Linked DNA regions of Neodiprion lecontei. Each later gene encodes a partner of the first gene's protein in a complex. Links are inferred from orthologs where the notes say so. Each region holds a gene or a part of one and is shown on either strand. Other genes may lie near its edges.

Region 1 (17,363 bases):
CCTATTCGTTTTCGGGCGAGAAAAAGGCACTTTGCGCCCACTCTCCGTGCACGAAAGGGTATATTTTCAGTGCAGGCTGGACAAAAAATAGTTTGGGCATATTTTTTCTTTTTTCATTTCAACTCATGACTGGAGTCCGAACGTACACCACGCAACTTTGAACTACGTTCAGTACCGCTATCGCTACGCGGTTTTTAATCTTCGAATGTGTTTTTCATTAACTAATTGTAAATAAAATCCGATTTATCGTACACCATTTTCTTCCTTACGAAAAGAAGAAGAAAACCATGTATGAGAAGGTGTGTTTATTAGCAATTGATTGGTTTTATGATCAAGAAAAGCCTGGGTGCGTTCGGACCCCAGTTATGCATTTGAAGGTAGAAAAATAAAGTCATGAGTTATAAGGATAATGGAAATGAAAAAATGTGACCTAATTACTTTTTAATACTCTATTGTATACTCTACTACTCTACTTTATGCACATATAAAAAGCAGACCTCTTTTTCCAATGAATCTTACCTCTTTTTTTTAGGGTCTTAATCGGAACGAAAACGAACTGTTAATATAGGGAAAATGTACGAGTGGTCCGCCACCCAGTGATTGGCCATTATTAAGCCAATTGTTGCCCACAGCTATTTTATCACGAAAATTAATCACCTGTCAACTTATTAAAAAAGTAATTGCCTTATAAACGTATTGATATAAATTAAGGAAATCACGTGTGTTATTACGTCAAAAATATGTGGTTGCGAAAACTGCTCAACAATAGCGATAAGTATGGACGAAATGGAAAAGTTTCCGGTTAATCTACAAGTTTCACGGTGACAGAAGTATATACTCTAATTCTGACAGAAAACAGTGAAAAAAAATATTGTAAAACAAGTGGACGACCATTAGCTCCTTCATCGTATTTGCCTTTTTCGAAACCACACAAATAACAGGAATTAAGAACCCATACACAACGTGATTTTACCATTTACGTCCGTTGAAACCACAGAAACAACAGGAAGAATGCCTAACTACAAATATATTTTTCATTATTCGTTAAAACCACACAAACAGCAGCTGTGTTCTTGCGATGATACGATCCGTTTTATAAAAATATATCAAAGTAATAATAATAATTATAATAATAAATCGATTAAATGCTGAAACATATCTTCAAATAGCAATATCTGCAAATCTGTTCGATTTTTTTCAGATTTGATTTGACAATTCTACCAAGCCCAGTTAGTACACGCGAACAAGTACTTCAAGCACTTCCGGGCCATGACGCTATTTATCTCGCCAGCCATCATGTCGTGAACAAAGAATTACTGGATGTTGCAGGTAAATGTTGAATGAGAGCAATAATTTTTTTCGCTTGCACCTAAAAAAGTTTTACGTATTGAAAAATTCGGAGGAGACAATGTGTCTTGAATCCAGTTATAAAATATCGCTCTCGGTATTTGAACTCTTCCCAGACTTGATCCTGAAAGCATTTTGCAGTGACTTCAATTCACTACAGACGTGTCCGTTGAACGAAATTCGTAGCTCAAACAGTTTACAAATTATAGGCCTCGAAAATCAATTTTATTTAGAATATTTATAGGGAACTAAATTCTGTATAAAAATATACTTGGAGCAAAGTTCGTGTTTCAGTGGTTCACAAGTTATAATTCTTGATAATGAATTTGATGTAAAACATTTATCTTTAAAGATCTTTAGTGGCCAAAGTAATGACGTTATAACGAAAATTTCGTATCAATAAATACGGCTGACTGGTAACAATTTTAAATATCGATTCCGAGAGCATATTTTAAAATTGGATTTAAGAGTTAGTCTTCCTTGAGGATTTTTGTTTGTTACTAAATATAATAAGTTATTCAGGTGGAAGCGAAAAAACATGTTGCTTCAAAACGATATAATTTTGTCTTATAGGTAACATATATTACGTATTTTCGGCTTCATACAAACTTTTCCGGCCGACTCGGCCTCCGTTATATACGTTATCTGATCTTATCGTGAAATCAAATTTCGTTGAAGCAATAAAAATCTATTGCTCCGATTAGATATTATATGGATTATGCAACCAGTCTGTAATATGCTTTTTCATAATTTCTTAATTAAAGCGACTATAGATTATGCGAACTGACATGACTATATTTACCAATCAACAAAATGGATTTCTTCCACGGGCATGAAATTATCTTACCTCTTTGATTGATTGATATTGAAACTCAGGTTTTCATTTTCTTCAGGACCAAGGTTGAAAGTGGTGTCAACAGCATCTGCTGGATACGATCATTTGGACGTGCCTGAAATAAAACGGCGGGGTTTAAAAGTAGGTAACACTCCCCATGTTCTAACTGCTGCTGTTGCTGAGGTCGCTGTAATGTTGACGTTGAGCGCGGCCAGGCGAGCTTACGAGGGCCGTATCAAAATCATCGAGTAAATAATTCAACGTTTTGTTATATTACAATTTTAGCTTATGTATTTCATAACAAAGAATTTTTAAAATATGCATAGCTGCAAATACAATTACTTACATAGGTATGCACCTTAGGGTGGTCCTTAAAAAGGACATTTTGAATTTGTAATGCCTCGTCCCCCAAATCGGACCAAATAATTCCCTAACATTTACAGATTTTCATCTGAACTCTAATCCGTGCCGCAAAAACGGTTGATTTTCCGATTTAATCCTTTTCAAGGGAACAATAAATCTGCCAAACAGATTTCGATAAAATTTGATATAACACGTTCCTCTTGGGTCGTTGATTACGAATCTAAACTCGAAATTTCCAAATTTAAAATGGCGGATCCAATATGGCAATATCATTTTTCTTTTGGGATGTTTGTCCGCCATGTTGATTTGCCTATTTCGACATTTGAAATTTCGAGTTAAAATTCGTAATCAGCGACCCGAGGAACCCCCCTACATCAAATTTCATCGAAATCCATTTGGCAGATTTACTGTTCCCTTGAAAAGGGTTAATCGAAGAAATCAACCTTCCGGCGGCACGGGTTGGAGTTGAGATAAGAAGCTGAAAAAATGAGAGAATTATTTTTGAATTATTTGCATCCGATTTAGGGGATGGAACAGTCGAACAATCGAAATTCAAAAATGACCTTTCTTAAGACCACCCTAAAATATCTGAGATCTTGTGAAGTTAATTTAACTTTAAGAGGGGCTGATTCTTATAATTATGCTAATTCAATGCGAAAGGGTGGTAGGAATTGCAGATGATGCATTGTTAGTATAAGCTGCAAGAAAATTCTAATTCATTGGGTGTATCATAATTATATTATTACTATTGTTTATCTTTCATTTTCAAGGTACTAGAACGAAATATTTTAATATTGGTTAATTTTTTCAGAAACAAGTGGGAGTCACGGCCGCAATGGATGTTGGGCCGTGATTTACGCGGTTCAACTGTAGGTATAGTAGGCTTGGGTAACATTGGACAAGCAATTGTGAAGCGACTGAAGCCATTCGAAGTGGGCCGATTCATTTATTCGGGCCACTCGAGAAAACAAGCCGGTAAATAAATTATTAATGAATATTACCTATGATATGAATAAACGTTCGGATCGAAATACACATGCAACGTTTCATATAATTGCAGGTGACGATCTTGGAGCTACGTTTGTATCGTTTGCTGATCTCCTCAAGGAAAGTGATTTCGTGATAGTTGCCACGCCGTTGAACAATGAAACTACGAATATGTTCAATGACAACACTTTTGCCCAGATGAAAAATACGGCGATACTGGTGAACGTAGGACGCGGACCTGTCGTCAATACAGATGCCCTCGTCAAAGCACTTCGAAATCATACAATTTTTGCTGCTGGATTGGATGTTATGAATCCAGAGCCACTCCCCAGTGACCATCCACTTTTAAGCCTGCCGAACGCAGGTCAGTATTTGAGCGATTTTTTACGTCGGGACCTCTCCTGGCAATAAAATATGTCCAGAAGGTTTCACATATTTGTACGAATTTACCCAGAATGGTTAATTTCTAACAGATCCTTACTTGTTTCTAAAAATCCTAAACCGGACCTAGTAATTTCTAGGAAAAGAAATAATTTTTTGCAAATATCGTATAGAAAAACATTGATGATTTAATATTTTTGAAAAATTTAGACAGTTCAATCTATTTTAAAATCCTTTTCAACTGTTTCATTTTTAATTTCTCTCAAAAATTCGTCTGTTTTTTGCATAACGCGATACGCCAGAGATACGATTTTTTTCAGGATTGTGACACATAGTGGAGTTCTGAGAAAACATGAGTTATCCATAGAAATTGGTCCGATTTTCACCTCTTAAAAATCAGTCGAGTTGATCATGCACAACGAGAAAGTAAAAAAATCGGAGTTTTATATTTGAGTTTTGGTAGAAAATGAAATTCCGCGTAAAGAATTTAGAAATTTTTTTTTAAAACTCTAGAATTTCTTGAATTTCCTCAAACATTATCAGGACAATTCAAACCTTTGCTAATTATGATTTGCCTGTTATTTTTTTATCAATGTCTTTGGGAATACAAGATGAAGAAAAACAAATGCAGAAACAAATTAATCACCCGAAGCCCACTTACGTTTTATTGAACTTTTTAGTTATAATCCCGCATTTGGGCAGTGCAACGGTGAAAACCCGCTCAGACATGGCTACAACAGCGGCGCAGAACGTGATCAACGGCTTGGAAGGAAAACCACTCGTCTATGAATTATAGTGGCAAACAGGCTTTCAATAAAGTTTGCACCAACTGTGTAACCTGTTGCCTGATATATGTATCAAATATTTTCAAAGCAACTGAAATTTTACGGGGCTTTAATTTTTTATACATGTCTTCAAGATTCGTATTTCCACTTTACGTCATATTCAAGAATATATACCTAGCAATTATTATGTTTTATAGTATATTTCATATGAAGGTGTCAAGTCTGGGAATTTTTTTACCCAGGATATAAGCACATTGACATTCCAGTAACTTGTTTGTAGGTGTGTTATATCTCACGTTAATTCATACAGATGTGACTCCGTGATCAATGTCTATTTTTATTTTATGAATGCGAAGTTATTTAGGAATACGAAAATATAAAGTGTGCGTATGACACGTGTTCACGAAATAATCAATTCAATTCTCCAATAATACATATACAGTATATATCATTTTTTGTTTTGTATGTATATTACATAATTATATAAGATTTATAGAATTAATTTACAACGATTTAAATCGTAATATTTAACCTTTGTTTTGCTAAAATTTGGTTCAATGTGTTTTACACATTCAATTACACAGTCGTCGTGACGTTTTAATTCCACGATTTCTTCAATTAGTTTATTAGTGCATCACAGGTGTCCATCAGGCTTCGGCAACAACGTTTTTAAGATTTTGTAAAATTGGATCAATTTTACTCTCTAGTGACAAGATGTGCCCGGTATCACAAATGTTGTTTGCAATAAAGCTTACGACCAATGGTAGCTTATTCATTTGAACAACCTGTTGAACATATCATTGATCACACATAAATCCATGTATTTACACACTTATAACTGTTTCTGACAACATGGTAAATAATTGTAACTAGAGGTAAAAATTTACAAGAAATTTGCACAATAATTAATTAATTTTATAATTATATAATATAGTTGAAATACAATAAATGCTAGTTCCCTTTAATGTGTATGGAGCATTATTTTTCAAATCTGATAAGGTTTTGATAATTTTTTAGTTTCAAAATTTTTTATAAATTCAGTTTTACCTCTTGACAGAAGTGCTGATGATTTTTTTGAAGCTGCATTCTCAATTTGTTTTCTAATATAGAATTTTTGAAACATTTTCCATCTAAATTTTGCAAATGAATGAAATTTAAAAACTAAATGAGATGTTTAAAAAAGGTAAAACATATCTTTTTTCCTCTTGAGTGATGGATTCATTGATAAAATATTTCATAATTATATCTCATAATTTCGTTGTACCATTTTCCTTATAGTTCCGTTCTACTTTTTCGCATAAAGCCAATTATGATTATGGGTCGATGAATTGTTGTATTTCTACTATCTATTCAGAAGAGACTTTTTTAAAAATCAATTTCTTGTCAGGTGAAAGAAAGATTGATTTCATCAAGTTTGTAATCAATCGGACGCTACTATAGGAATACGTGTTCATACGGAAAAGATTTTTTTCTTATGAATGTGGAAGAAATTGTTTTTATAACTTTCATTCAAACGACTAAAACATCGTAATATAAATTTCTCACCAAATGAAAAAATGAATTTTAATTAGGAAAATTTGACGTTACATTAAAAAAATTAATAATTTAAGAACAAATTGAGATGAAAAGATCAAACTAAATCATCAACAAGCCTTGTAATAGGTAATATGAGATTTCAAAAAATGAAGCGTACCGAAAATTCGACCTTAAAATCTTGTCAAATTTGAAAAATAATATGCCATATAGAACTAGTTTCATATCATTATATGTTTAAACAATGTACTCTTCAGAAAAGGTTGCATGTAAAAGTGGAATAACTGAACTCCAAACAGCCTTCCAGAATTACGGTGCTCTTATTATCAATGGTTCATAACTTACTTGATAACTGCTGTATATGCTAATAATGGTTTTATTCTTTCCTAGATCTAATTTGCTCCCTTGATCAGTGGCCATTCCGAATGTAGAAAGGAAGCTTGCCCGCATTGCTAATTCTGGGGCTTTTTCATCTGACACTGATATGACAGGAACACCATCACGATCCGTGATCAAAATACTGTGTAAGCCATCAACGCTGTTCAATAGCTGATATAAAAATTTCTTCAATTCCTGAAACTGAATCACAAATTGATTTGTGTATGCTAGAAAAATACAGATCGCGAATATACATGTCTATATTGCTTCGAATTTTTGAGCTGACTTCTATTGCAATTCCAATAAAGAGTGAGTTCTATTTTGAAAAACATAACCTCGATTATAGTTACTTTCACTTGGCTTCGAAACGCTAGCTAACGGTCACATATGATTACAGCATAAACTTCAAAAAACAAACTCACCACGTTCATTTTCGAATGCAGAACCTGTATTCAGTTTTCAGTATTTTTATTGCATTCCAAATTTTTATTGAATTTGAACAAAGAATACTCCGTTCTGTGACTAAGAGTTGACACTTCACACAGCCGCGTCAGCCACGGGGCGCCGATATATTTCTATTTATGGTTTGACAGGGTTACAATCCTACCCTACCGATCGAGTTATTTTTGTCCTACCCGCATTTAGCTGTGAATTTAAAAGGTAGTGTACGTCAAAGAGAATTATCTTTGGTGTACGTAAAAATACTGTATTATAAGTGATATGACATGTTATTCACTCCTTGTTACCAAACTTATACAAGCGAACTGTAAGCGCGCGCATTGCTTAACATGCCTAAAACAGAGACAGAGCCAGTCATACTCAAGAAGTGCAAAAGAGATAAAAAGATTGCTACCGGGGCCGGGAGCTGATTTTGATACGCACCCGCAGTAAGCTAAAGTGTGTGGCGTATCAACCTCAGAGAATTACTCTATGGCGTCAACTTGGTGTAAAGCGTCGTTCACGCAGTCAACAATTATAATAAATAATTGGTTTTCGATAAAACAGCGAGAATGAAGAGCAGAGCATTGATGTTCATGGACTGAGATTGGGTGATAAAATTATTATTCCGTTGAATATAATATTAATAATTCCGCTCTTCGTGTATTAAATAGAGGTACAACAGAAAGCTCTAGCCCAAAAGAGAACGGAATGGCAACACTTGAGGATAAAATTTTGGGTGAAAAATTACAATATTACTGCAGTAGTTCAAGTGAAGACGAGGGGCAAGACTCAGCGGATTCTGAAGATGAACAAAAGTCGCAGAAACCGTGCGACGCGACAGCGTCAAGGTCTGAGCAACTGCCTGAGTGTGCAAAGTGGGACGGAACTTCAAGCAACACAGGGCCGAAAGGGGTCTTAGGCGACTGGCAGCGGTTTAAACAAATAGAGGCAGAGAAGAAAGTCGAACAGGAGAAGGAGAGGATCGAGCTGCTGAAGAAGTTGAGTTTGACTTGCAGGAGTGCTCTTGACGAGGAAAAAGATAATCTTGAGGAAACCGATCCAGAGTTGGCAGATTTGATGAACGACGAATTTTTACTCAATTATCAGAAGCAAAAAATGATGGAAATGCTCACTCGGGCTGAAAAATTAAGATTTGGCCGGTTATTCAACTTGGTAACTGCTGATCAATTTCTGGAGGCCATCGACAACGAACATGAATCTGTTACCATCGTTATTCATATTTATGAACCTGACATAGAAGGATGTGAGACTATGAATGGCTGTTTACTTTCACTGGCCATCGAATATCCCAGCGTTAAATTTTGCAAAATTCAAGGTGAGATGGTGAAAGAATTCCAAACTTCTATAAAAGAACATTGCAGTTGCTAATGCTGAATTATTTTTAGGCTCCGCCGCAGGCTTAAGTAGGCACTTCAAAAAGGAGGGAGTTCCAGCACTGCTTGTTTATAAAAACAAACAAGTCATAGGTAATTTTGTTCGTGTCACAGATCACCTTGGAGTTGACTTTTATTCCTCTGATGTTGAACATTTTTTAATCGAGCATGGAATGATAAGTGACAGAAACTGTATTCCATCAATTGTTTCTACTAAGAGAAATGCAGATTCTGACAGCGACTAGAAAAATGAACGAAATAGAGACTGGAGATTATATGTGGTAAAAATGTATTTAATATTTATAGTAACTATACTTATATGAACTATGTAACAATAAACCTGAAGCTCCTGTATATTTTATCTATGCTGTTCGTAAGTATGACGATTGGTTTTCTCGTCATTTACATAGAGTGAATTATCTGTAAATGAATGGTTCTTTGATCCAATGGCATTGACTGAAAAGTTGGTAAAGATGTTGCATAGATTTGGTTTTCTGAAAACTAAACTTTTCCAATCATAACATAACTAGTAATAAATTGCTCTTTTTGCAACCAACTGATTTGCATAAATTTTGCCATTGAAATTATACGTGTATCAGTAATGCAAAAATTTTAATTGACACGAAAGAATACAAAATCGGACTCTCGTGAATAGCGGAAAATTAGGCAACGCAATGAACCCAATGAATAAAAAAGGTGGAAGATGTTCTTGGGAATTTTCAGTGTTGACAAGCATTGGTTGGCAGCAGGTTTTGCAACTCGCATTGAGAAGGGTTTTAGAAAGCTTTGGAACGCACAACTCATTTCAAACTGTCTAAAGTCCCAACGCACACCTTTGGATAAATCCAAAATTAGGCTCGAGACTATCGCGAAAATGTTTCTAGACGCACAGTTAGTAGATTGAGTTACCAAATACCGATTAAGCATTGAAATGCATTGGACAATTCATTCAATCACTTGTTTCAGATAAACCAGGGAAGAGTCATAATTTAAGAATAAATTAACTAATTGTACGGCATTCTCAACTTTTGTAAATGCTTACTGTTGCGCCACGGAGTAATGGCGCTTTTCATTGGCTACACTTGCGGATGCGCACTGATTACGGTTCTTCTAGTATCTCGTTTCAACTATTGGTTGAAAACAGTGGAATCTCACTCAGTGCGCGCACCGGCAGTCGGCACGCTCGATTGTAATTTTTTGATCCGCAGGTCTTTCCGAAACATAACCTATTGCACGATGAACGTTATTTGATATTTAAAGATAATCTGATTTCACTCTGGTTTGGATGTTGTGAAATTAATAAATATATAAAAATGATACCGACAACCCGACGTATATCGGAATCCCTACTTCGAAGAAGTGGGATCCTGTGCACCACTTTACAAGACAGGTAGAGTATAATATCTCTATTATATACTTTTATATTGTAATAAGGTAATCGACACACATTATTCATATTTATTCACTTATTATAACCTATGGTCAATTTTGTATTCCTATATCCTACAAATATTTTATTGTAACAGGTGTAAGTGTGAGGTGAGTTTAATCAACAACAGGTAAAGTTTTATAAAAATTATTGAATGTAATAATTTTATGAATTGATTTCTAATACATTACGCGTTATTTTTTATTTTTCAGATATCTTAGAATTGGAGCTTATTTAGCACAACCTTTGCGGGGAAAAAAAGATGACTCGACTACAATCACATCTTTGTTCAAACCAGTTCCCGTCAAGTCGAACCCAGATGATATTAACGTGGGAGTTGAACTTAGTGGGGCTCTCAACAAAGCTGACCTCCTGAAAGTGCTCAATCAATTCTATCAAAGAAAAGAGATCAAGGTGCTCGCCATGGAACACGGATTGGACAGTGAGTACTTAAGGTGCTTCAACTCGTTATTTCAGTTTTCTCAACTTCCCGCTTTGGTATTTTTATAGAAAAAGGAAAGTTTTTATAATTACCCTGAAAATGAAAAGTTGTGTTTTCACTATATTTCTACTATTTAAGGCCTGGAGAATCTTCTCTGATCACTTTCAGGTGGACATCTCGATTTGAGTGTATGATCGTTTTTTGGTGGCAATTACTGAAAGATTAGATTTTATTATTTTGGCCTTAATTGATTCAGTTTTGCTTGACTCAGAACTGACTAGAATTTGAACTTAATTCTTGTGGTATCTCAAAAACGTCTAGATGCAGATGAAACTTGCTTCATGGGTTTAGCTTTATTAATATAAAGCTGATTAGATTTTTACTAAAATCAGTTGAGCCTTTAAAGTTATTTTCAAAATTATAAATCATGTAGTCTGAAATTTTTATCTTCATCGATAGTGGGAGTAGCTGGAAGTTCTGAGATTGATCCTCTCAAGTTGAGTAGATTTCCCTGCTTGTTTCCACCCGTTTTATCGCTGTAAATTACATTCAATAAACATTGTCCTACAAAAGCCAATGTAAATGCTTCTGTTGGTTGTTTCCTCCCTACTTTTGGTTCATTGCTCTTAGTTTTTCTGCATTATTTTGGAGACTGCACACACAAATATGAACGTCTTGCAGGTTACTTACAACATCAAACCTTCATCAGTTTTCGACGCTACTGCTTAGATGCTGAAACCTTGCCGGCAGACTTGCATGTTGTAATAAGCGACATAATGCAAGGAGCCGGGCATGTCGATGACATATTTCCGTACTTTATGCGTCATGCGAAACAGACTTTTCCCCATATTGAATGTATGGATGATCTCAAGAAAATAAGCGATCTACGCACACCTGCTAACTGGTATGAATAAAACAGTGGAAATATTTGCTTCTGTATTTTGAATAGAGCTTCATATTTATAACCAGAAATATGCGCAAATTAAATAACTATCATTTTGCAGGTACCCGTTAGCGAGAGCTAAGACAAGAAAAATTATATTTCATGCTGGACCAACGAATAGTGGTAAAACTTACCACGCGCTACAGAGGTTCATGACTGCAAAAAGTGGATTATATTGTGGGCCGCTGAAGTTGTTGGCTGCAGAAGTGTTCAATAAAAGCAACACTAACGTGAGGATTCAGTAATTCATTAGAACTGTTTTTGAAAATCTTGCAAATGTTCTTCATTGTTTTGAACGTTATCGCAATACTCTGTTTATCCTGCATCTTTTTCCAGGGTACCCCATGCGACTTAATTACCGGAGAAGAGAAAAATTTTGCGAAAGGTGCAGACAACCCTTCAAATCACATATCTTGCACAGTCGAAATGGCCAACACAAACGCTGCATGTAAGGTTATATCCTTTGATTCAATTATTCATTACATATTACGTTTAAGTATAAAAAAAAAAAGGAAACGAATGGAATAAAATTAATTTATTTTAGGTGAGGTTGCCGTCATAGATGAAATCCAATTGATGAAAGATCCAGGTAGAGGCTGGGCATGGACTAGAGCTTTGCTAGGACTGCCAGCCGATGAAATTCACCTTTGCGGAGAAGCTGCTGCGATAGACTTAGTCAGTATATATTTCAAAATTCGTTGAAAAATCAATGAATTTGATGGCCAACGATTCATAAATTTACATGGGTGAGATATGCTGTCCGAATCACTAATGATTGCTATATGTTAGGTCCGCTCCATATGTATCACAACTGGAGAGGATGTTGAGGTACGGAGATATAAACGTCTGACTCCGTTGGAAGTCGAAGAGTCTGCACTGAAATCACTGGACAATGTAGTTGCAGGAGACTGTATAGTTTGCTTTAGTAAAAATGAAATATATTCTGTGTCTCGTAGCATCGAATCTCGTGGTATTGAAGTGGCAGTTATATATGGAAGCCTTCCACCAGGAACAAAACTAGCTCAAGCAGCAAAATTCAATGACATCAATAACCCATGTAAAGTTTTAATTGCTACTGATGCTATCGGGATGGGTTTGAATTTGTTAGTATCGTTCTTTTTTTTTAAATCGTAATTTTTCCAATGATAAAGGCGAACTCAAATAGCATGTGTGGAAAAAAATTTCGATGTTTAATCATTCGCGTTTTTTTACACATATTTCATTTGGCAGGAGTATACGAAGGATAATATTCTACTCTTTGATGAAGCCGACTATCAATGAAAAGGGCGAAAAAGAAATTGACACGATACCTGTGTCCTCTGCTCTGCAAATAGCTGGACGAGCCGGGCGTTATGGTACACAATGGGAGAAAGTAAATCATTTTTAAAAATTCGGTGTTCAATTCTATCACGCTTATTCGACTTCCCGGAGTTGTAGTTGCTTTGTTGTTTCAGGGATATGTAACAACTTTTAGACCAGATGATCTATCCAAGCTGCAACACTTGCTTTCACAAGAACCAGAAGTCCTTACTCAAGCTGGTTTACATCCAACCGCTGATCAAATAGAACTATATGCTTACTACCTGCCTGATTCTACTCTGTCTAATCTAATGGTGATTGTTTCAATACATCATAATATATTTAGGAATCAGCAGATTTGCATCGAGTCCGTAAATTGTACTCTTTTTTCAGACTTACAATTAATTATTAATCGTTCTTTCCTATTGCAGGATATTTTCGTATCGCTATCTATAGTGGACAACTCTTTATACTTCATGTGCAATCTAGACGATTTCAAATTTCTTGCTGATATAATTCAGCACATCCCGCTACCATTGCGCGCACGATACGTATTTTGTTGTGCGCCGATAAATAGGAAAATACCATTTGTGTGCACAATGTTCTTGAAAGTAAGCTGATCATGCTCAACCAATCTATTCTAATAATATCACATATTCTACTACATTAGTCACGCTCAAAAAGTTCAATTGAAACTGATTAACAACATTTAAGTCAGAAAGATTCCAAATTGTGTATCTGTAATTTCTGATCAAGTACAAACGGGCTGTACTGTCTAAATTGAATGCTAGGACAAGTCAACAAAAATCATTTAGAAAATCTCCAGCAGCTTTATGTGCGGCAATGACGGTGAATACGAATGAAATAACATCTCTACTGTGTACTATAAATGAATATGACCATGTTCGAATAAGAAAAGCTAAGATATCAACCATCAGACAAAAAGATTTATAATCAGAACGCTCAAGATGTTCAAACTTTGGTATTTTCGAATTGATTCTTATTCTTTGAGCTTACTGTGTTTGCCATAGAGCTTTGAGGGTACATTGAAAAAAAAAATTCATAAACAGTTGTGCTTATAGTGGATAATGTTTGTGCAGCACAGCACAATAGATGTTTCTCAACAATTATATTTGCACGTTGTAATTATACTATAATATAAGATTCAGTGAATGTTTTTAACAATTTGTGGAGGTCTAGTCAGCGAGCAAAATGAGCCCAAAAATATTAAAATCGGCTAAAAAACACAACAGTTTAGGAATTTCCAATGTTCTGATTATAAAACCTTTTCTCAAATTGTTAATACTTTATCTTAGTGATACGAATTTACTGAAAATCATTTTTATCTCATATTAGGGATATTGTTGTGATCGTGTTCGCTATCATTGGCACAAAGAAAAACACCGTTGAAGATTGGAGCAATTTTTTTTTCTTTCCGAACCTTTAATTTAGACTATATGGTTCATTCATTCTTTAATTCAATTGGGATCCAAAATTTTGCCTCGGTCTTAGTTAAAAAAGAAAAAAATTATGCAAATATCAATGGGCAGTAAACTTTGTCCAAATGAGTTTTTTTCTTTATACGAAGTCGTCAAATAATAAAATATACGTAAAAAAAGAACAATAATATCAAATACGACACGGTTAACATTGCGCAATTTTTCTGCTACTGGATAGCGTCTAAATATTTTGGATCCCAATAAATATTGTTTGCCTAAAAAAATACGTATTTGAACATAATTTTGATATTTGATTTTGTATAGTTCGCTCGACAATACAGTAAAAATGAAACGTTGACGTTTGACTGGCTTTGTCAAAACATCGGTTGGCCAGTCGCCGCACCAAGAACAATCATAGATTTGGTTCATTTAGAAGCAGTATTTGATGTCTTAGATCTCTACCTTTGGTTCAGGTGAGAAATTATTTTGAGTTCAGCCATTAGAATTAGATAGGTATTACAAATTCAGTTGAATTCAAAAATGCCTAAGCATCAGATTCACGGTATTTGTTTTCTTATTTGCTGCTAGTTATCGATTCATGGACCTCTTGCCTGATGGAGATATTGTGCGAGATACTCAGAAGGAGTTGGATGCAGTTATACAAGAAGGCATAGTTCAACTAACACAGCTTTTAAAGACCTCAGAGTCAGGTTTGTTGAAGACATTACATATTAAAATTTCTGGTAAATTGTGCCATGCCATGTTCCAACATTATCAAATCATTTTCAGGTTCAAACAATGGTGCTGTGTTAGCTCCTGACGAAGATCACTTTGCACTGAACACCCAGAAGAACAAATACTTCAGAGGTTATTTTATTTGTTACAATGTACATTATTTTTTGTTAACTGGCCTGTTGATAACCTTGCTTCCATTATTTTCAACCTATAGATTCTAGAAGTGTCACAGCCAAGACTTTGGGACAAGGTAAATTAACAGAAAGATTACTGGCACAAGGACTTCTTACTCCAAGCATGTTGAACGAATTGCGGAGAGAATGGAATCAGGTATGAACAGTGTTCATTGAAGCTCGCCAATAGAAAAACTTGATGCTAACAATGTCAAATTCAGTTATAGTTTTGAAATGATCTCGCAAGAACTTAGACCTAACAAATTGTATTTATCAGTTCCTAAAGATATCTGTTCCGTCCAAATAATTTCAGCCAAATACTTTTTAGTAACATTTGTCCAAAAAAAGTTAGTCAAATCAGTATTTGCAGTTGTTAAAATTCAAATTTCTTTTTTTTTTTTAATTTAACCAACATTTTTGTCATTCCTTAGTTTTATTTTTTGTATAGTTTACCGATGACAATGAATCAAGTCGTCCAAAAAAAACCGGACGGAAACGTAAACTGAAATGAAGTGTTCCTGTTCATTGCCGAAATTTCTCCACAATTCAAGAGCCAATCGTAAGTACAATGAATAAGAATTTGTAGTGTAAATGATGGTACGAAAGATTTCTGTTTCATTTTTGTACAATGTATGGCAGTAAACTACTACGTATGTGTAAATTAAAGTAATCATTAATTCACAAAGAACATTTTCTTTTCAGTGATTTTAATGAAAGAATTAAAATTGATTAAGAATTTATAATTTTATGCGACATCAAATTTATACTCCATTCTTTGAAACTGTTATATTAATCCTTTTATGTGTAGTTCACATATGATATGAAATGTATCACAGCATAAAATGTGATATGCTGTATAGATGTATAATTTAATTTGTATGAAAAATAGAAAAAGTTTACTTTGTCAAAATGTTTTAAGTATCCGTTATAATACCATTACAAGAATAATTCGTTTCGAAATAGATATGTTATAAAACGGTTTAATTGAAATTTGCAGAAGATTAAACGAAAATAAATGTCTCTTTTGGCATTAAAGTAACTATTAATTTTGATGCAAAAAGCTCATGATTCGTCTGTTGCAAAGTTTTGGAATTTTTCTCCAAATAGGTAGGAGCAATTTTGTGCAAAAAAACAAGGGTCGAGTCATTTTATTGTAACAATCACATATATGTACATATATACATTGGAAGTGAGTAAATATAAAACTGGAGGCAAAGAAACAATCCAGAATTTTGTGTGTTTATTCCCGACTCAACTGTAATGGCCACTTTATTCACCTGAAAAGAGGGATGAAAGTAGCAAGATTCTCCCACTAATGGGGTAACCACTTTTTCAAATCAATAAAGTGGTCACAGTTGAGTCAGGAATAATATCCCACATGCAACACGGGAATATAATGGGTTATTCGCTTGTTACATAATATACTGTTTTTTTCAACTCCTAACCAAATTCGTTCTGAGGTATTCCTGAATCATGTCATCAATTCTTGAATTTCTGGTATAATCCTATTGGCAACATTTCATTTTGAACCCGCTAGGAGTGATTTGAGTCTGTTTTTGAAATTGAACCGAATTTCGTTCAGACGTCGATTGTGCCTGTTTATTTTCTTCAATGATCTCCTCAACCTTTCAATTTCCTTTTGTTTTTCCAGAAGCATATTGTAGATAGGCTCCCTATTTCTTCTTTGAGCCAAGGCGACGTTCAGACTTGCACATTTTGAGCATTTTGAAGACTTGTTGTTCATGACGAGGAGACATTCCATGTGTCTCCATTTCACTGTATCCACATACGCAATTCCCATTCTAACAGCTTCGAAGTCTTGAACGTTTGGACCCCCTACCATGAAAATTTAATAGGTAGATTCAAGTGAACAAGGGTATGTTAACCAATTACTAAAGTTCTAAAAACTGTTTACTTTTCCCTGGAAGACATTTGTTAGGAATACTCAAATAATTTTATCTATCAATCCAGTATTTCAACCAGAAACAGCATTTGTTTCACTTCTATTTGAAGAATTTGTACACAGCCAAAAATTTTTTGCCAAAGGACATCTCCCACATTCAATTTTAGAATATTGCTTTTTGAAGAAATTAAAAGTTATCCCATTTAAATAACATAGGAAAGATATTGTCATTTTTTAAAATTCTTATCACTCAGCCATATTCAATGATATGGATTTAATCTTGGAAGTATTTTATAGAAAATTTAATTTTGTACAAAAATGTCTTGTACACAAAATCTCTAACTCAAACAGTTCAATAAGCATCGATAGTCAATTTTATGTAAAGATTCATTTACAAACGTTTTTAGTGGCTCAGCTATTTCTTTAATTCATATTATTTCATATTTCTATAACTTCACGACAATTATTCAAATCATAAGTTTTGTAGGCAATTCACTCTCTCTAAAAATGGTTCCGCTAATCAATTGACTTTACAATAAAAATGTGAATAACTCTT
Region 2 (15,401 bases), on another chromosome or scaffold:
TTGCGATCAAGATGTCCACGTCCACGTTGAACGCGCCCTGTGTCTGCCAGAACTATGCCATTTAAAATTTTCACACTATCCAATGGGACAATTTACTCTAGCCTCAGTTTGCCAAAGTATGCCGAATGAAACTAGGTGTCAGCGCATCTACGAGCGCGTTTGTAAGACGCAATTATGGATCATGTACCTTTAGCTTTGAGATCATATTCTTTTCACTGTCATCGGAGACGGACTTATTCAGAAGCAACCGCTTGGCTAAATGCTGTTTATAGTATCGCTCAAAGACATCCTTCTCTTGCAGGAACCTGAAGAGAACCATTGTCTTGTCAAGCACGCCTTCGATCTCCTGCTCTGTCATCTGTAGAAAGTAACATTTCAGTTAAAACCTGCACGAAAGGATCTTCATGCCAAGCCGCATTCAACTTACCCCCTTTACACCTTTTTTTAATTTGTCATCGATAAAGAGAGAAAGATACTCAGGGCTCTTTGAATTTAGATTCAGAAAGTGTTCAAAATCCGACGCGATCATTTGCTTGAATAGTTTATCATTGTTAAACGAGTGGTGCAGGAAATGGTCGAAACGATCTTTCAAGTCCAGCAGATTTTGCACAAAGTGTATTGCGTTTGTGGTTGGCTCATGCTCTTCTTGGACCAAGGCGCGTCCTTGCTCTCTGAGGAATTGCGACACACAATCTGATACAGTGCGCAATCCGTCTGTTACTCTCGCGAATAATTTGTACATGCAACCAAGGTCTTCAGTTTTCTGGTTCTTCAACATATGCACCACACCACTGTTTTCCATCTGCAACAGCATTCATTTGAATTATTTCAAAGTTTACAAGACTTTAGAGCAATTCTGTAACACGTAACAAAGATTTGATATACATGAAGTTTACTGCTAAATTTTGTCCTCACCTCAACGATGGTTCTCATGTGTATTTTAATCAACTCTTCTTCCACCACTTTGACTATCCTTGGCTCTGTGGATTCGTCCAGATAGTGCTTCGCCCGTTCTGACTCTTCAAGAATTCTAGCTTCAACTTTCTTTATGTAGACTGAGGCGCTGTTCTCGCCAAGGAACTTTTGCGACTCCATCTGTTGAATATTCGTTAAACACGATTGATTGAAAATTAATAGGACAATTGATATGGTTTTGTGAAAATAAAAGTAAAACTTGCCCTGTAAAATTCAGCGCTCTGTTGTAAGAAAGGCCTCTCGAAATCCTCTTCGTAAACTTGGCGACAGTTTATACCGAGCAGCATTAGCATTTGACATGCATTCTTTATCGCGATTCGATCAACGACCTCCCCCCTTCTCTCTCTCGCTACCATGCCCAGGAGTGTCTCGCGTAGATGATCCCTCACGCAGCCGTACCTGACTACCTGAAATAAATAACGATTCGTCAAAAAGGATTTGTACAGATGTAGCGAAAGCAACGGTTTCAATCGATGTGTTACCTGATCCCTGAATATGATTAGGCCCAAGTTGTAGACGTTGTCAACATCATGCTGTTGCACATAAACCCTATCCATGTACATTAGTATATCCCTGATCATAACCATAGAGGTCTGATGATCGTTCCAAGCCTGATTCAGTGTCTGGAGAAAATTGTTGTGAAGGGAGCGTAGCACGTCTTCCCGAACTTTCGACTCCAGGTGCTGCGTAACAACTTCTTTCAACCCGGTGTACAAACGCTCGCCATGCTTGTGAAGGACCATGGTGTATGCATTTCGGTACAGCTCCTCAAAACTCAGGCCGGAGTTGTTTTTCTTTTGTATTTCTTGTATGGCGTTCTTCAACAGTGCCCAAATACTCTCCACATATTTTTCGTCCATGGTCATCTAAAAACAGAGCATCTAGGTGTGAGAATAAAAAATCAACGCTGATTTGGCAAACTAATAGGCAGTGTCCCTCACAAGGGTGTCGACGATCACAAGGGAGCTCGGATTCCCTGATCGAAACAGCCCTGAGATAGTAGCTATTTCACTGAGTGCTCCACACATAATTTGTGAAGTTGGTTTTTCTAACTGACCACGTTCCATGGTTGGATTTTTATCCAATCCTTCTCTGTGTGGTGACCGCTCAATCACTTTCTTTAACCTATTGTTTTATGTGTCGATCGGCATAGTCGCCATATCAAGAACGCTCAAAATTAACCTTGACTTGTCAATATAGCATCAGCAAAGACGTGATTACTGCTGTCACTAAATTGGAGTTTCTACATCCAGGCCTAGTCCTTTGAACAGGCAATCTATCAGCCTATTGATAGTTTCAGTGATTTGTAAGACTTTGGACTTGAAAATTTGGCGAAAGTAGCGTTTGTCGGGGTGAAAAATTTCGTTTTTGGATTTGTAGGGAAAAAAAAGTGAAAGGCATACTCCTTTCCATTGTCTTTATGACTGCTAAGGCAACTGTCTTGAATTTGGGGGGGGGGGGGGGGGGGGTGAGAATGGGGAAAAAAACACATTAGGTTCGTTCACCAAACCAGTGCACCTTTCGTAGGCTGCTGTGGTTTGGCTATCTTGATACAATATACAAAGGGGCCGAAAGTGAAAGCTGATCAAATATATTATATTGTTATATGGTTTTAGTCGATGTGAGCTAGGTTAAAGGGGTCGGGAAAGAGGAGGTGGGGAGGATGACGGGTGGACATATTTCCATTTAAATGACAGTGCGTGAAATCCGACGGACCCGAGCGTCGAGCCTCGAGGATCGTGAGATCGTGACAATATGAAAACTGCCCGAGTCGAAAGGCGAGGCGAGGCGAGGCGAGGAGCAGCGAGTTTTTCCTCCTTTTAATCAAATGGGCATGCATATTCGTCGATGAGGGAAATAAGATACGTGAGAAATCTTCTTACCGGAAACGCGCGTATCCGCATTTTTTCTCTCTTGTGGGTCGCACCGCTCTTCATCATTTTCAGTAGTAAAAAATCTCCTCAAGGGTCTTCGTTCAGCTTGACACTTCGGTATTATTACTACCAACACTATAAAATCGAGTCAGCGAAAATCTCGATCTCCGTACGCACATTTACAAAGCTTTAACGGTGTCATTCACGCATCGAGGCCAGGGGCGGGCGCGGGGGCGACGTGTATTTCGCAATGGTGGGTTCGAGGAATAATATCGACGCTCGCTCGACGGTGAGAAACAACGGGGACCGAGCGACCAGTCAATGTCGGTTATTTACAGGAAAACAAGGCATCTGAAATTACCCGTTATCGCGGGACTGTGTGGTGGGTAGTGGTAGGTATAAAATGGAGTCGCGCCACCAAAACACAGAATTTATTTTATAGGGTTATTTAAACGCGTCTGCCTCACGTCGTCGGTCTTTAACAAGCTCGTCTCTTCCTCGTTAGTTCTCTTTGTGCTTTTCTTTCCTTTTTACCTCCGCCTTAATTAATCTCACTTCAATGGAATGACGCACATATTCCCACAGATCGAGGCATACCGAATTTCAACCGTGTGTATCAGACGATCTATTTTCCTAATTATTCCGCGACGATGACGACGGGCTGCCGGAGGAGGAGGAGAAGGCGATGAAGCGAGCACGGAGCGCGAATAACTAATCGAGCGCTGTGGGCTGCGTTCGATTCACGCGGTACTATAAATACACATTTTTATCACGATGTAATGGAACGTAACATAAAACTGTAACAAAATACGCGATTACCACGCATAATTGTATACACAAAATATCGCACTTGGCGAATAATCCTATTCCGTTGAATAATTAGGCTGCATTTCATTACCGACTACCGGAACTACATGCCTCCAACCCCCATGGTAAAGAAGTTCCCGTACAGCTGACTAGGAGCCCTTTGTTCCGATAGTTAGATGGCAAAGAGGTTTTTTTGAACGTAACGTAACCTAAAACTATAATAAAATACGCGTTTACCAAGCATAGATGTATACCGCGGTATATCGCACTGGATGAATTATCCAATTCCATTAAACGATAAAGCTGCATTTCATCACTGACTGCCGATACTACAGCTCTATAGCATCCATGGTGAGAAAATTCCAATACAGCTGTCTAGAAGCCTTCTGTTCGGATAGTTAGATGGCTAGGAGGGTTTTTGATACTGCAATACCTCTCGCTCTCGGTGACGCAATTTCCTAGGAATTATCATGATGCACTACACTGGTCTTGTAATACAATGACTTTCTATTAGCCCTTCGAAACTATTCGTCCAAAGCCGATAGTTCGGAAGTAAATGCTTCATAATTTTTTTCAGTGCTCAAACGAACGCTGTATTTTCGGCGCATTTAAGGCTCACTCATCGATCACCAATTTGTTGAAATCAATCTTTCATTACAATGAACTAGCAAGTAACCGGTTACCGATAATTTAGATATAGGTGGAAAAGAATTGCGTTTTATGCCAACATTCAAGTTGTGGAGTTACGTAAAGTATACGCAATTCAAGTATCCAACTTGATCTTTGACCATGGCTACTCAGGAAGTCTTGAAGTTATATAATTTGAATACAGTGTAGCTGTAGAGCAAGGTTTCATATCAGTCCACAGCTATTTCGAAGGAATACGAGACTATAGATAATCCAACAATATTCGCACATGCAGGTTTTCACAGTTCCTGTAAATGAGGCAATCAAATGGTAAAATCATTGTAAAACATATTTATAAAACCTTTTGTTTATACATTGAAAACCAGACGAAAATCGTTCATTTGACTTATAGGTTTACAAAAATATTTCACAGGCTAAAGGTTCCTGTAATAACAATGGCATTTTCATACTTAAGAATACTTGAGTGTTGTGCTATTAACGCATGTATTGTCTAAAAAAAAAAAAAAAAAAAACTATTTTCCTCATCCAATAAACACCCCTCGAAGGTTTAAACTGAAAAAATTGGCAATAGATTCTGGAATAAATGAAGCAGCAGCCCTTTCCTGGGCTCAAAGCTTCGACCTCCGGATATCTGGGAACATGTATGTTTGCAGTCACGCCTTGGCCAGTTCCTTCTTTAAATTGTCAGCGAGCTTGTCCATAAACTCGAACGTCTCAAGATAGTCTGACCTTTTGACATTGTTCATGCCCTTGATGCAGATTGCCAAATCTTTAGTCATACTTCCAGCCTCGATCGTATCAATGCAAACTTTCTCCAGAGTCTCTGCGAATTTCTTCAACTGGTTGTTGTTGTCCAGCTTAGCACGGTGTAGTAGGCCCCTTGTCCAAGCAAAGATCGAGGCAATCGGATTGGTCGATGTCTCTTTACCCAGTTGATATTGGCGGTAATGCCGAGTGACTGTTCCATGCGCAGCCTCAGCCTCGACCGTCTTGCCATCAGGGCAGAGAAGCACAGAGGTCATCAGGCCTAGAGAGCCATAACCTTGAGCAACGGAATCTGACTGAACGTCTCCGTCGTAGTTCTTGCAAGCCCAGACAAAGCCACCCTCGGATTTCATAGCGTAGGCAACCATGTCGTCAATGAGCCGATGCTCGTACCAGATATTCTTTGCTTCGAACTTGGAACGGTACTCAGCCTCGTAAATCTCCTGGAAAATGTCCTTAAATCTGCCATCATATTTTTTCAGGATGGTGTTCTTGGTCGAAAGATAGAGCGGGTAGGTCCGAGCCAAAGCATACTGGAAAGAGCTGTGGGCAAAGTCACGGATGCTCTCGTCGGTGTTGAACTGGGCCTGAGCGATGCCAGCCCCCTTGAACTGGTAGACAGTGTGCTGGATTTTGTCGCCTGACTCACCTGTCCAGGTGATTTCCAGTTTACCGGCACCTGGTACCACAAAGTCTGTGGCCTTGTACTGGTCAGCATGGGCGTGACGGCCGATAATAATGGGTTGATTCCAACCAGTCACCAGCCGCGGAATATTCTTGCAGATTATAGCTTCCCTGAAGACAGTGCCGCCCAGTATATTCCTGATAGTGCCGTTGGGGCTCTTCCACATCTGTTTCAACTTGAACTCCTTGACTCGATTTTCGTCCGGAGTTATCGTCGCACACTTTATGCCCACGTTATATTTCTTTACAGCCTCCGCGCAGTCCACCGTCACCTGGTCATTAGTTGCGTCCCGGTTCTCCATACCCAGATCATAAATGTGCAACTCAATATCCAGGAACGGGAGTATCAATTTGTTCTTGATAGAGTCCCAGATGATACGAGTCATCTCATCTCCAAGAATGTCAACGACGGGTCCAGCCTGTTGGAAAAATGCTGTTTCTTTAAGTATTTTCATAAGAAACTGCTGAACATCTTATTTACAACAATTTCATTGTACAATCTAATCATGAACGGAAATTCCGAGAAATAATCAAACTATCAATCAATTGATTATTACGGCTTATATCGCGTGAGATAATGATCGCTGTGATATCCACATTGTAGTAGGAACCTTATCATTCGAAACTTATTAGCTTTCACTCGACCTCGAGCTTGTTTTCTATTTAAGTGAAACCATCGACATTCCACGGCAAACGATGGGTCGACTAAATGTGGGGGGGAGGAGAGGGGATCGACCTCTGCACTGTGCACCATAATGTGCACTATCATCCAAGGTGGTTTGGAACGGGGTTCTAATCATGCAATAAATACGGAATACTTCGGAACACGAACGCTGCGAACAATAAAGTTCCCCGAAAGGTGAATCGCAAGTGTCTCGTGATTTGAAGTGCCTTCTCTCAGTCGCGGCATTAGTATAGAAACTGTTTAAAACGGATACGCGACGATCGCGACCGGCCGTATGAGACTCGAATGTTTTTTAAACTGCAGGAAGATGAATCGGCTAACAGGGCGACGCCTCGGGGGAGCGTGATGGATCAGGGTGAGATATGTACATTCATAGATACCTTGATCTTAGCCATAGCGATTGACGTGGAGCTGAAGTTTTTCGATGTCTGTGTCGTCCACGTAAGGTTTCGTCTGCGCGATGCGTCGAATGAGGAGTTTCGGTCGAGCAGAGCGACGGACGACGTACTGCAGCGAAGTAATCGAGCCGCACTGTCCACGGCGGCACTCGGTCCTAACAGGCGAGTCAAGGAACGGAACATGGCGCCTGTTATTGTTATTATTACCGGATTATACGACTAGGGGATAGGATGAGTACGTGTACGGAACGGGTTGCGTACCGCGTATCGAACGATCCTAGAGTTGCACCGTCACTGGTCCCGTCGACCGGGTTCCCGAGATGTGTTATCTCTCGCGGAAAGTTGTGTACCCCAGGGACCTTTGGACGCGCTCCCCGGGTCCGAAGAGTACAATAAACCAACGGTTTATTGTCATTGACGGGTCAATTGATGCCACCCCTACATAAAATTGATAGCGAATTCTAGACGTTAACAGTATTGCTGACACGCGCCATTCTTTTAACGGGAGTTGGTTACGCAATCGATTGCCGCCTAGAGCGGCCAGCCGTCGAGTCAATCGGCCGAAGCCCGAGAGGCAATGTAACAGCGGTGGCATCCGCCATAAAATATCGGACTAATAACAGCTGCCCTCCAGGCTATCTACATAATTACGGTTCGCAATATTTTTTCATTTTGCCCCGAAATATCCGAAATATGTACTGCACATGCATTAAAGGTACTGTGTGGTGTTATTTAAAAGGCGGGCTGAATTAGCAATTTCTGTGAGTGTCATGCGTGATAATAACGTCTTGTTAATGCCTCAGAATAAATGAGATATTTATTTTCAAAGTCAAAACAAGGATGAAACTACGACATTTGCTACACTGATATGTAATGATATTTATGTCTCATTTGTAAACCACTGACCTCTACTTGTATGCTAGAGATCAGTGATGTAAACTCAGTGGTTTACTACAGAAAATCATACCGCGAACTTCACAGAGTTCGGCCATTTTCAGCACTCATTAGCTAGAGGAGCTAGAGAGTAAATTTGAGACCAAACTACAGGAGAGTGGATTACAGCGCCACGGTGAACAAACGATAAATGATATCTCCAGATTTCCAAGTTTTGTCAGTTGGCTACATTGAAGTCTAAGCAGGCAGAAAACAAGAGCAGAAAAATACATCGCGCTGCATCGCGCTGGCTACCGCGTTGTATTTTAGACTATCGCCACACGTCAAACCACAGGTTTTGTGTGTTGACAGGTGACACTTCCTCGCAAGGACAATTTTGATACTCGGCTCCCCAGTGCTTACGTTAAATTTTACCATTCTGCAATATACAAACATCCGCTAGGTTATTTGAAGATGTTGTCGATGGAGAGAATACCTGAGCAAATCGGTTATTTGGTATTAAAAGAGGACGGGGCGGTACTCACGGTATGACAACGCGATACAAGTCGAGAGCTTCATCATTGTTTACTTTTGTTTTTTTTTTTTCACTGCTGTCATTTCAGTCGGGTGGAGAGCTGGAAAACGACGAGAGAATTGCAAACATTATCATGAGCCTGATCACTCTGACCGACACGATCGATCCCAAGGCGTTTGCGTCCGATGAAACATTCAACAAAATATCCATAACCTACGAAGATCACTGCTACGTCATATGCCTGTCAAACAAGAAGGTTCACATTGTTAAGAAGAAGATAACCGCGTTGACCTCATCTCAAGAACAGCAGCAGCAGCACCTGCCAGTGATTGCTTGATGAGTCAAATATTGCTTATCGAAATAATTACAAGGAACATATGTTAAGTTGAAATATAAAAATGAGACATGTAATAAAGCAAAGATCGCAAATGTGAACGGTAGCAAGTTTCCTAGCTTTTTTGCTAGTGGTTCTGTTCATTGCACCTAATCGACTAATTATAGATGTAGTTGGACACCGAGGGTGATTCTTCGGTTTTTAGGCAGTCTGCGCCATCTATGAGCTTAGCAAAACGTCTATGACTGAACAAAGATGCTGCAATCTGCGCGAATATTTTTTAATTATCACGAATATGCATATGTACGCATGCATAAATGTGTGTAGTTATAATCGGTAATAATACGCGTGGGAAATATAACCCGTTAAACAATGATCGGTAGTATTGTTTAGATGTAAACAAATGGCCACCATCAAGGTAACCGAACAAAAGGTGATTTTATGTGGCGAATACGGGGTCGGGAAAAGTTCGATATTTAGGCGATTCGCGAACAATACCTTCGTCTCAAACAATGATAGAAAATCGACCTTGGGACTGGACAATATCAACAAACAGTACACCATTGACGAAAAAACGATTCGCGTAAGTAGCACATTTGCCTGTTACGTTCAGTTATTTTCACGCGTGCAAGTGCAGCTTTAAATTTATTGTGTCGGACAAGTATATTCATTTACACCTGTCAATTTTGGCTAATTTTCTACAACGTCGAGGGTGGTCCTGACTTTCCAGCTGCAGTTATGGGACACAGGAGGAATGGAGAGGGTTGCCTCTATAACATCCAGTTACTACAAATTTGCAGAGGCGGCAATATTGGTCTTTTCGCTTGACAATCCGACCTCCTTTCACCTCCTCTCACAGCACCTTCTTGACATTGTAACTTACGCGGAAAACGCTAAGATATTCCTTTGCGGGAACAAGAGCGACTTGGAAAGCGTTGATCCTCAGGTCACAGATGTGGAAATGGAACAATTCTGGTAAGAGAAATAATCTATTCACATCGTAATTATATGTTGAGAATTAAAGCAATAAGTTCATTGACAGTCGTAACTTTTGTTTCCCAGTGAACAGTGTCACAATTTGATATCGGCGACGTACAAAACGTCGTGTAAAACGGGGCACGGGGTTGATGAAATGTTTGAAGATATTGCACGCCATTTGGTCGAGGCAAACAGATCGCGTATGGAACTGCACGATATGGACAAGGACCACTTCAAAATCACAAGTTCCGACGAAATCGACGAGCCATCCTGCTTGTGCTAATTTTGATTCAGCTTTTAATGCCCAGAACACGTTTCTCTAGTCAACTCAAGAGGAAACGGATTTCAATTTAAAAATGCATGATTTATGTCATGACAAACGCTGGCTGAGCATATATTAATATTATAATAATTTATTGACGGAGGATGAATGATGTGTGGCGATTTGATAAATTTTCAAAATAAAAATTTATTCATTTATCATAAACTCTTATACTACTATGCAGCGAATGCAATGTTGAAATCTGGAAACTTGAAATCTCACTAAGCTAGTCATAATTTACTATGTATCACTTAACAAATAATCCGTGTACAAAGCCCTTTTTGAGTAGGAACTGTTCAGTGCTGCGTCCATTTGATTGACTTGATATCGATACCCTCTTGTACCATTTCCCACAGTGGACTGGCAGGAGGAAGAGAAAACAGAATTATATCAATTTTACAAGCAAACAAAACTTTTGCTAGAGTTTCAATTTTGACATCGAGCGCATAAAACACATACCTCATCTCTCTGAGTCGAATAACGTGGCGTATGATGTTATGCGCTGTGTAATCGACTTCTTCACGAGTTGTGAAACGACCAATTCCAAACCTGAAATGCACAGTAATTTGCCATTGTCAGCATTTATATGTCAGATATCCTAGTTTGCAAAAATTGTACATTCACGCCTACCTTATACTGGAATGTGCCAGGTCTTCGGCAGCTCCAATGGCACGTAAGACGTAGCTTGGCTCTAGACTGGCGCTCGTGCAAGCTGAGCCGCTGCTCAACGCCACATCTTTCAAAGCCATCAGCAATGACTCTCCCTCGACAAAAGCAAAAGAGAGATTCACGCAGCCAGGATACCAGGCAACTTCATCACCGTTACGCACCACATTCGTTAAACTGCCCATTATTTTTTGTATCAAATGCTGGGAAAGATCTTCTATATACTTGTGGTCATACTGTAAACGTGGAGAAGAACACAAGTATTAATCCAGATAATTTTCAGTTCAAATTGAAGATGATACTTAACACCAGATACTATCAAACTGACGTAAAAATGTAATTTCTTTTGAAATCAGAGACTGATGAAATTCCTGGAAATTTTCTGAAATTTCCTTGTAAAGTAATAATCTCATGACATTTTCAGGTTTTCCCAATTTTCTGTAATGCTGGACACTTTACAGTGAAGCATATGGAAAGTTGAGAAAGTGTTGTACTAACAGCCATTTCCTTTTGTGCGAGCTCGCAAGCAGCCCCCAGCCCAACCACCAGAGGTGCTGGCACCGTTCCACTTCTCATGCCTCTTTCCTGACCCCCGCCACTTTGAAGGGCTTCGACACGAACCCTTGGCCTACGCCTGACGTAGAGTGCTCCTATGCCTGAAACATTAGTTGAGATGCATGGATATTTTGAAAAATTTCTCGATCTCTTTATGCACTACCTTTTGGCCCGTACAACTTATGACCACTGATCGACATGAGATCTATGTTCATCGCGTTCACGTTGATCGGAATTTTTCCTACAGCTTGCGCAGCATCTGTGTGAAAGAAAACTTTCTTCCTTCTGCAATATCAACAAATATGATAATCTGTTCACTGCTCAATACTTAACGCTTTTATCTTTGTCTTGTTCTGAAACTTAAAATATATTTTACAGTATAACAACCTGCATAGAGCTCCAATCTCTGCAATTGGCTGTTGGACACCAATTTCGTTGTTCACAGTCATTATCGAAACAAGTGATGTGTCAGGCCTCAGAGCAGCTTCAAGTTGGTCTATGTCGATTAATCCATTGGGTTTGACAGGGAGGTATGTGACATTGAATCCTTCAGCTTGCAAAGCTCTGCAGGAGTCCAAAACGCACTTGTGTTCCTATGTAAAAAGAACAAGTTGAGAGACCTCAATACTTCTCATCAAATGCCCGTGGCTTCATACTTCATTATGTTTTACAAATATTTCCATTCTGGTCTCCAATTAATTTTATTTCAAGCATACAATATATTTGAAACGGAATGTAATCACAAAATTAGAAACAAACTACGTAAGCCAACATCAATGATTATTTCACAGTGAAAACATTATCAAATGGAGCATCAAATAGTTTACATCGTATCCAATTTTCCTTTTCAACTCACAGTTTGTGTCGTTACAACGTGCTTTTTCTTTTCCTTGTAAAATCTAGCCACACCCTTGACAGATATATTATTGCACTCCGTGGCCCCAGACGTGAATATAATTTCCTTCGGATCAGCTCCTATCAGATCAGCAACTTGCTACAAGAGAAATTGAAAGAGGATAGAATATAAAGCACTTAGAGAAAACGAGATCCTTACTAACTTTCCGACCACGCTCAACAGCTGCCTCTGTTTCCCATCCATACATGTGAGTCCTGGAATGCGGATTGCCGTAGTATGTTGTCATGTACGGCATCATCTGGTCCAGCACACGTGGGTCCTGAAATGAGAATCGACGTATCAGTTGACACCCAGATGTACTAATACTGATTAAAACAAGTTAGCGAAGTTTAGCGATTGAAATTTTTCCAAACAAACCGTTATTAAAACAAAATACGTTTATACAATCACAAGTGTGAGATTAAGAATAATTTTAGTTCCGTTCGAGAGGTGGATAATTACCAATGGTGTAGTGGCCTGGGCATCCAGATACAAGGGCCGACCCTCCGCTGGACCCTTTTTGTACTCATCACTGATGGGAGCTGGAAAAAAACGATTTTTAACAAGTAGTTAGGCGCAATTGCATAATTTGTAGTAAAATCTTTCGTTTACTAGTTCAGCGTACATTCGAATTCTTTGACAGCCGCGTAGTGTCGCTTGGGCGACGAAATCACTTCGTTGACGTGGTGATCGCGCGCAAGAGGCACGAGTCGTTTCCACAAACGAAACATTCTTTCGTTTGATCGGCCTTCTTCAGTCGTGCGACATTTACTCAATCAGTTGGCCGGTCGCGCGCTCAAAAAAAGGAGGAATTTGGGTTAGGAATCTCGATGCGAAGGCAGAGGAAACTGTACGGATCTAATCAAGATCTTGAATCTCGAGAGTCGAGAGCTAGGCGTACGCAGGATCACCGATCAATTGGTGCCGCGACGAAAAGAGATTAGTTGGAATGAAGTGAAGTGAAGTGCGGTTAACCTGAAAGAGCGTCGGTAACCCTGATAGAACAGCTCCTGCTCGTAACTGCGGTTCTGTTTGCCTCTCACCAATCGGAAACTCGTCCCCTCGGCCTCGATCAGCCGTCAATGGCGCGAAAAACTCCGTGCAGGATGTTTGTTAAGATTGTCATTTGCTAATTGCACTTTACACGTACGAATTTGTGATAAAAATTTGATGCGACGCAGAGACGTTTAGAGTTAACAGGTACAGTGCGTTGTTTGGATAGATTCAACTATGCGCGCATGAGCTGTGCCAAAGTGACCAATATGCATCCAATATGTGAAATCATCTTTCAGTATTCTTCTTTTCCTCTGATGGTTACCGTTTTAGAGTAGTCATTGTTAAGAGTGCCCTGGTCGATTTTGATGTTGACTTATATATTTGCAAACATCGAAGTCCACGTATCTCAAACGCAAAAACGAGCTCAACATCCCGATTCTATACGCGATTCTGTACAAAAACACTTTTATACATTTGCATTTAACGCAGAAATAAAGAATTGGCATGGATTCTATGAAATCACTATAGTAAATAAAATTTGTAGAATTCATACCCTTTGAAATGACCGTTGACATAAAACGTTCATAAAAAAATTTTTAATCTGATCAACGCTGATTAGGGTCACCGTTTTTAAAACGTCAATAGTCTCCAGTCAACGACAGTCTTCAATGAGTCAACGAAATTACACAGCCTTTATAAATCAGTTAAAATAATTTACCAAGTAAAACTCTTGTTCGAAACATTCATTTACCTTCGTCTCATTTACGTGTTATGTTACTCTTCTGGATTTGTTTTGAAAATGCCGCGTCAATTTCTCATCTGTACTGCTCTGTGACAGCCGTGGTAGCAGACTGAACTAAAAGTACGCGTGCTTTTTGTTTGTGTCAACAGTACCGACCCTGTGCCGACGCCCGCGAGAGTGTAATCCTGATTTTCCTGAATTTTCCCCGCACTGTATTATCACAAATCTTAACGATTTCTTCAACAATGCTATTCGTAACTGTGTAAAATCACCCTTAGGTCGTACTGTATTGCGATTCTTGCCCAAAGTTGAACTTAAAATTAGGTTTGCTTATATTATTGTCGATACATAACCTAAAATTCGACTCATCCTCTCACAAATTTTAGCGATTTTAGCTACATGGTTCGTGGATCACTTCTTGTGTTCTCTTAGATTTCAGCCTCATGATGATGGATGCCGCGATTGAAACAGAGGAGGTGATAGAAAAACCACCGGTTAGCGTGCCAGTCGTCAGAGTTCCCGTCAAGCACACCAACCTCGGCATCAGAAGTCACGCAATGTAAGCTAATTATTGGTCAACCCGTAACTCATCACTTCCGTGCCAAATATCAGATATCACATGTTTCATTCTGCAGGGACATGAGCACAATGGTTGAACTGACGTCGTTCAGTTCCCTTGGGAAAATTCAGCCATTTCTTGTCACTCTCTCCACAACTGCAGCGCTCATCGTCGACCTGCATTGCCATCTCAAGGACAAGGAGGTGTGTGGTTATCTTGGGGGGCATTGGGACATTAATGCTCACAGTGAGGTTCAGTTCCTAACACATATTTGTAGACAACATTGAAAATTGCGGGTTTTTATTAAGGATCTTGATGCCCATAGATTTGACAATAAACTACGCGTTTCCATGCCGATGTAATGGGAAAGACAAAACTGCAGCTGCAGCAACTGAGGCTGAAATTGCACGAGCCATGGAATGGAAGCATCTCACGTTGGTAGGATGGTATCATTCCCATCCTAGGACGCACGCGTCGCCGTCGCTCCGCGATGTCGATTCTCAACTAGACTATCAGATAAAGATGAAAGGACTGAGTGACAATAGTTACACACCATGTGTCGGGCTTATCTGCTGTGAGTTTCGTTGTTTGCGTTTTGGTCATCCCAACAGTCTTAAATTTTTGGCTCACTTTTCGCAGCTCCGTATAACACAGATAATAACTGCTACGAGTCAAACTTCAACTTCTTTTGGTCGCTCCCTCCACCGGAAAATCGGCCTCACGAGTACCCGAGACCAATGCTGCTCAGCTACACCCTGTCCCAGGAACAATTCCTTTCTCAGGAAGCTATTGATGAAATTGTAAGATGTTCAGCACTGAATTTCAATGCCGTAGTTAGCGACTGTGCAGCAGTTCAGGTATCTACTATAATGGCTGGTTTTTAATTTTTCAGAAAAAATGTGTCGAGTATTACAAAAATGACGGCTGTGTCGACTTCAAAGGAATCTTTAACGGTTCTGTGACGTATTTGGAAAAATTGAAGGCAAGTATGCGACGCGTGCAAAAACTTTGTGTATTGAGAATTATGAAAAGTAAATCAGTGCTAGATAACATTTTTGTATCATTCTTTTTCGTAGAGCTCATTGGAGTCAAAACTACCGAGGAACCAGT

Evidence for each region.
Region 2: ragulator complex protein LAMTOR3-A (region 1) and ragulator complex protein LAMTOR4 homolog share a complex: the UniProt entries of both Drosophila melanogaster proteins name them as parts of the ragulator complex. The link is inferred for Neodiprion lecontei from reciprocal best matches to the Drosophila melanogaster genes Lamtor3 and Lamtor4.

The regions. Positions count from the first base shown.
Region 1 is NC_060261.1:12,075,367-12,092,729, forward strand, and holds ragulator complex protein LAMTOR3-A, read right to left. Parts: upstream 7,336-17,363; 5' UTR 7,041-7,335; coding exon 7,032-7,040; intron 6,811-7,031; coding exon 6,577-6,810; intron 5,484-6,576; coding exon 5,346-5,483; 3' UTR 4,943-5,345; downstream 1-4,942. Other genes in the region: glyoxylate reductase/hydroxypyruvate reductase, read left to right, coding at 1,202-1,329, 2,241-2,430, 3,357-3,520, 3,606-3,896, 4,594-4,709; phosducin-like protein, read left to right, coding at 7,759-8,386, 8,457-8,689; ATP-dependent RNA helicase SUV3 homolog, mitochondrial, read left to right, coding at 9,758-9,834, 9,971-10,003, 10,086-10,315, 10,997-11,219, 11,320-11,488, 11,595-11,706, 11,803-11,933, 12,048-12,361 and 8 more; uncharacterized protein LOC107225727, read right to left, coding at 16,424-16,740. UniProt on the Drosophila melanogaster protein: Regulator of the TOR pathway, a signaling cascade that promotes cell growth in response to growth factors, energy levels, and amino acids. As part of the Ragulator complex, may activate the TOR signaling cascade in response to amino acids.
Region 2 is NC_060264.1:23,145,335-23,160,735, reverse strand, and holds ragulator complex protein LAMTOR4 homolog, read left to right. Parts: upstream 1-7,954; 5' UTR 7,955-8,183; coding exon 8,184-8,255; intron 8,256-8,332; coding exon 8,333-8,581; 3' UTR 8,582-8,679; downstream 8,680-15,401. Other genes in the region: cullin-3-A, read right to left, coding at 188-358, 428-802, 916-1,095, 1,179-1,382, 1,458-1,841, 1,917-2,042; isocitrate dehydrogenase [NADP] cytoplasmic, read right to left, coding at 4,958-6,172, 6,819-7,019; GTP-binding protein YPT6, read left to right, coding at 8,982-9,161, 9,309-9,553, 9,641-9,839; cysteine desulfurase, mitochondrial, read right to left, coding at 10,175-10,238, 10,338-10,427, 10,509-10,780, 11,043-11,200, 11,263-11,384, 11,487-11,692, 11,956-12,093, 12,158-12,274 and 2 more; uncharacterized protein LOC107224137, read left to right, coding at 14,176-14,291, 14,368-14,537, 14,617-14,865, 14,931-15,091, 15,184-15,273, 15,368-15,401. UniProt on the Drosophila melanogaster protein: Regulator of the TOR pathway, a signaling cascade that promotes cell growth in response to growth factors, energy levels, and amino acids. As part of the Ragulator complex, may activate the TOR signaling cascade in response to amino acids.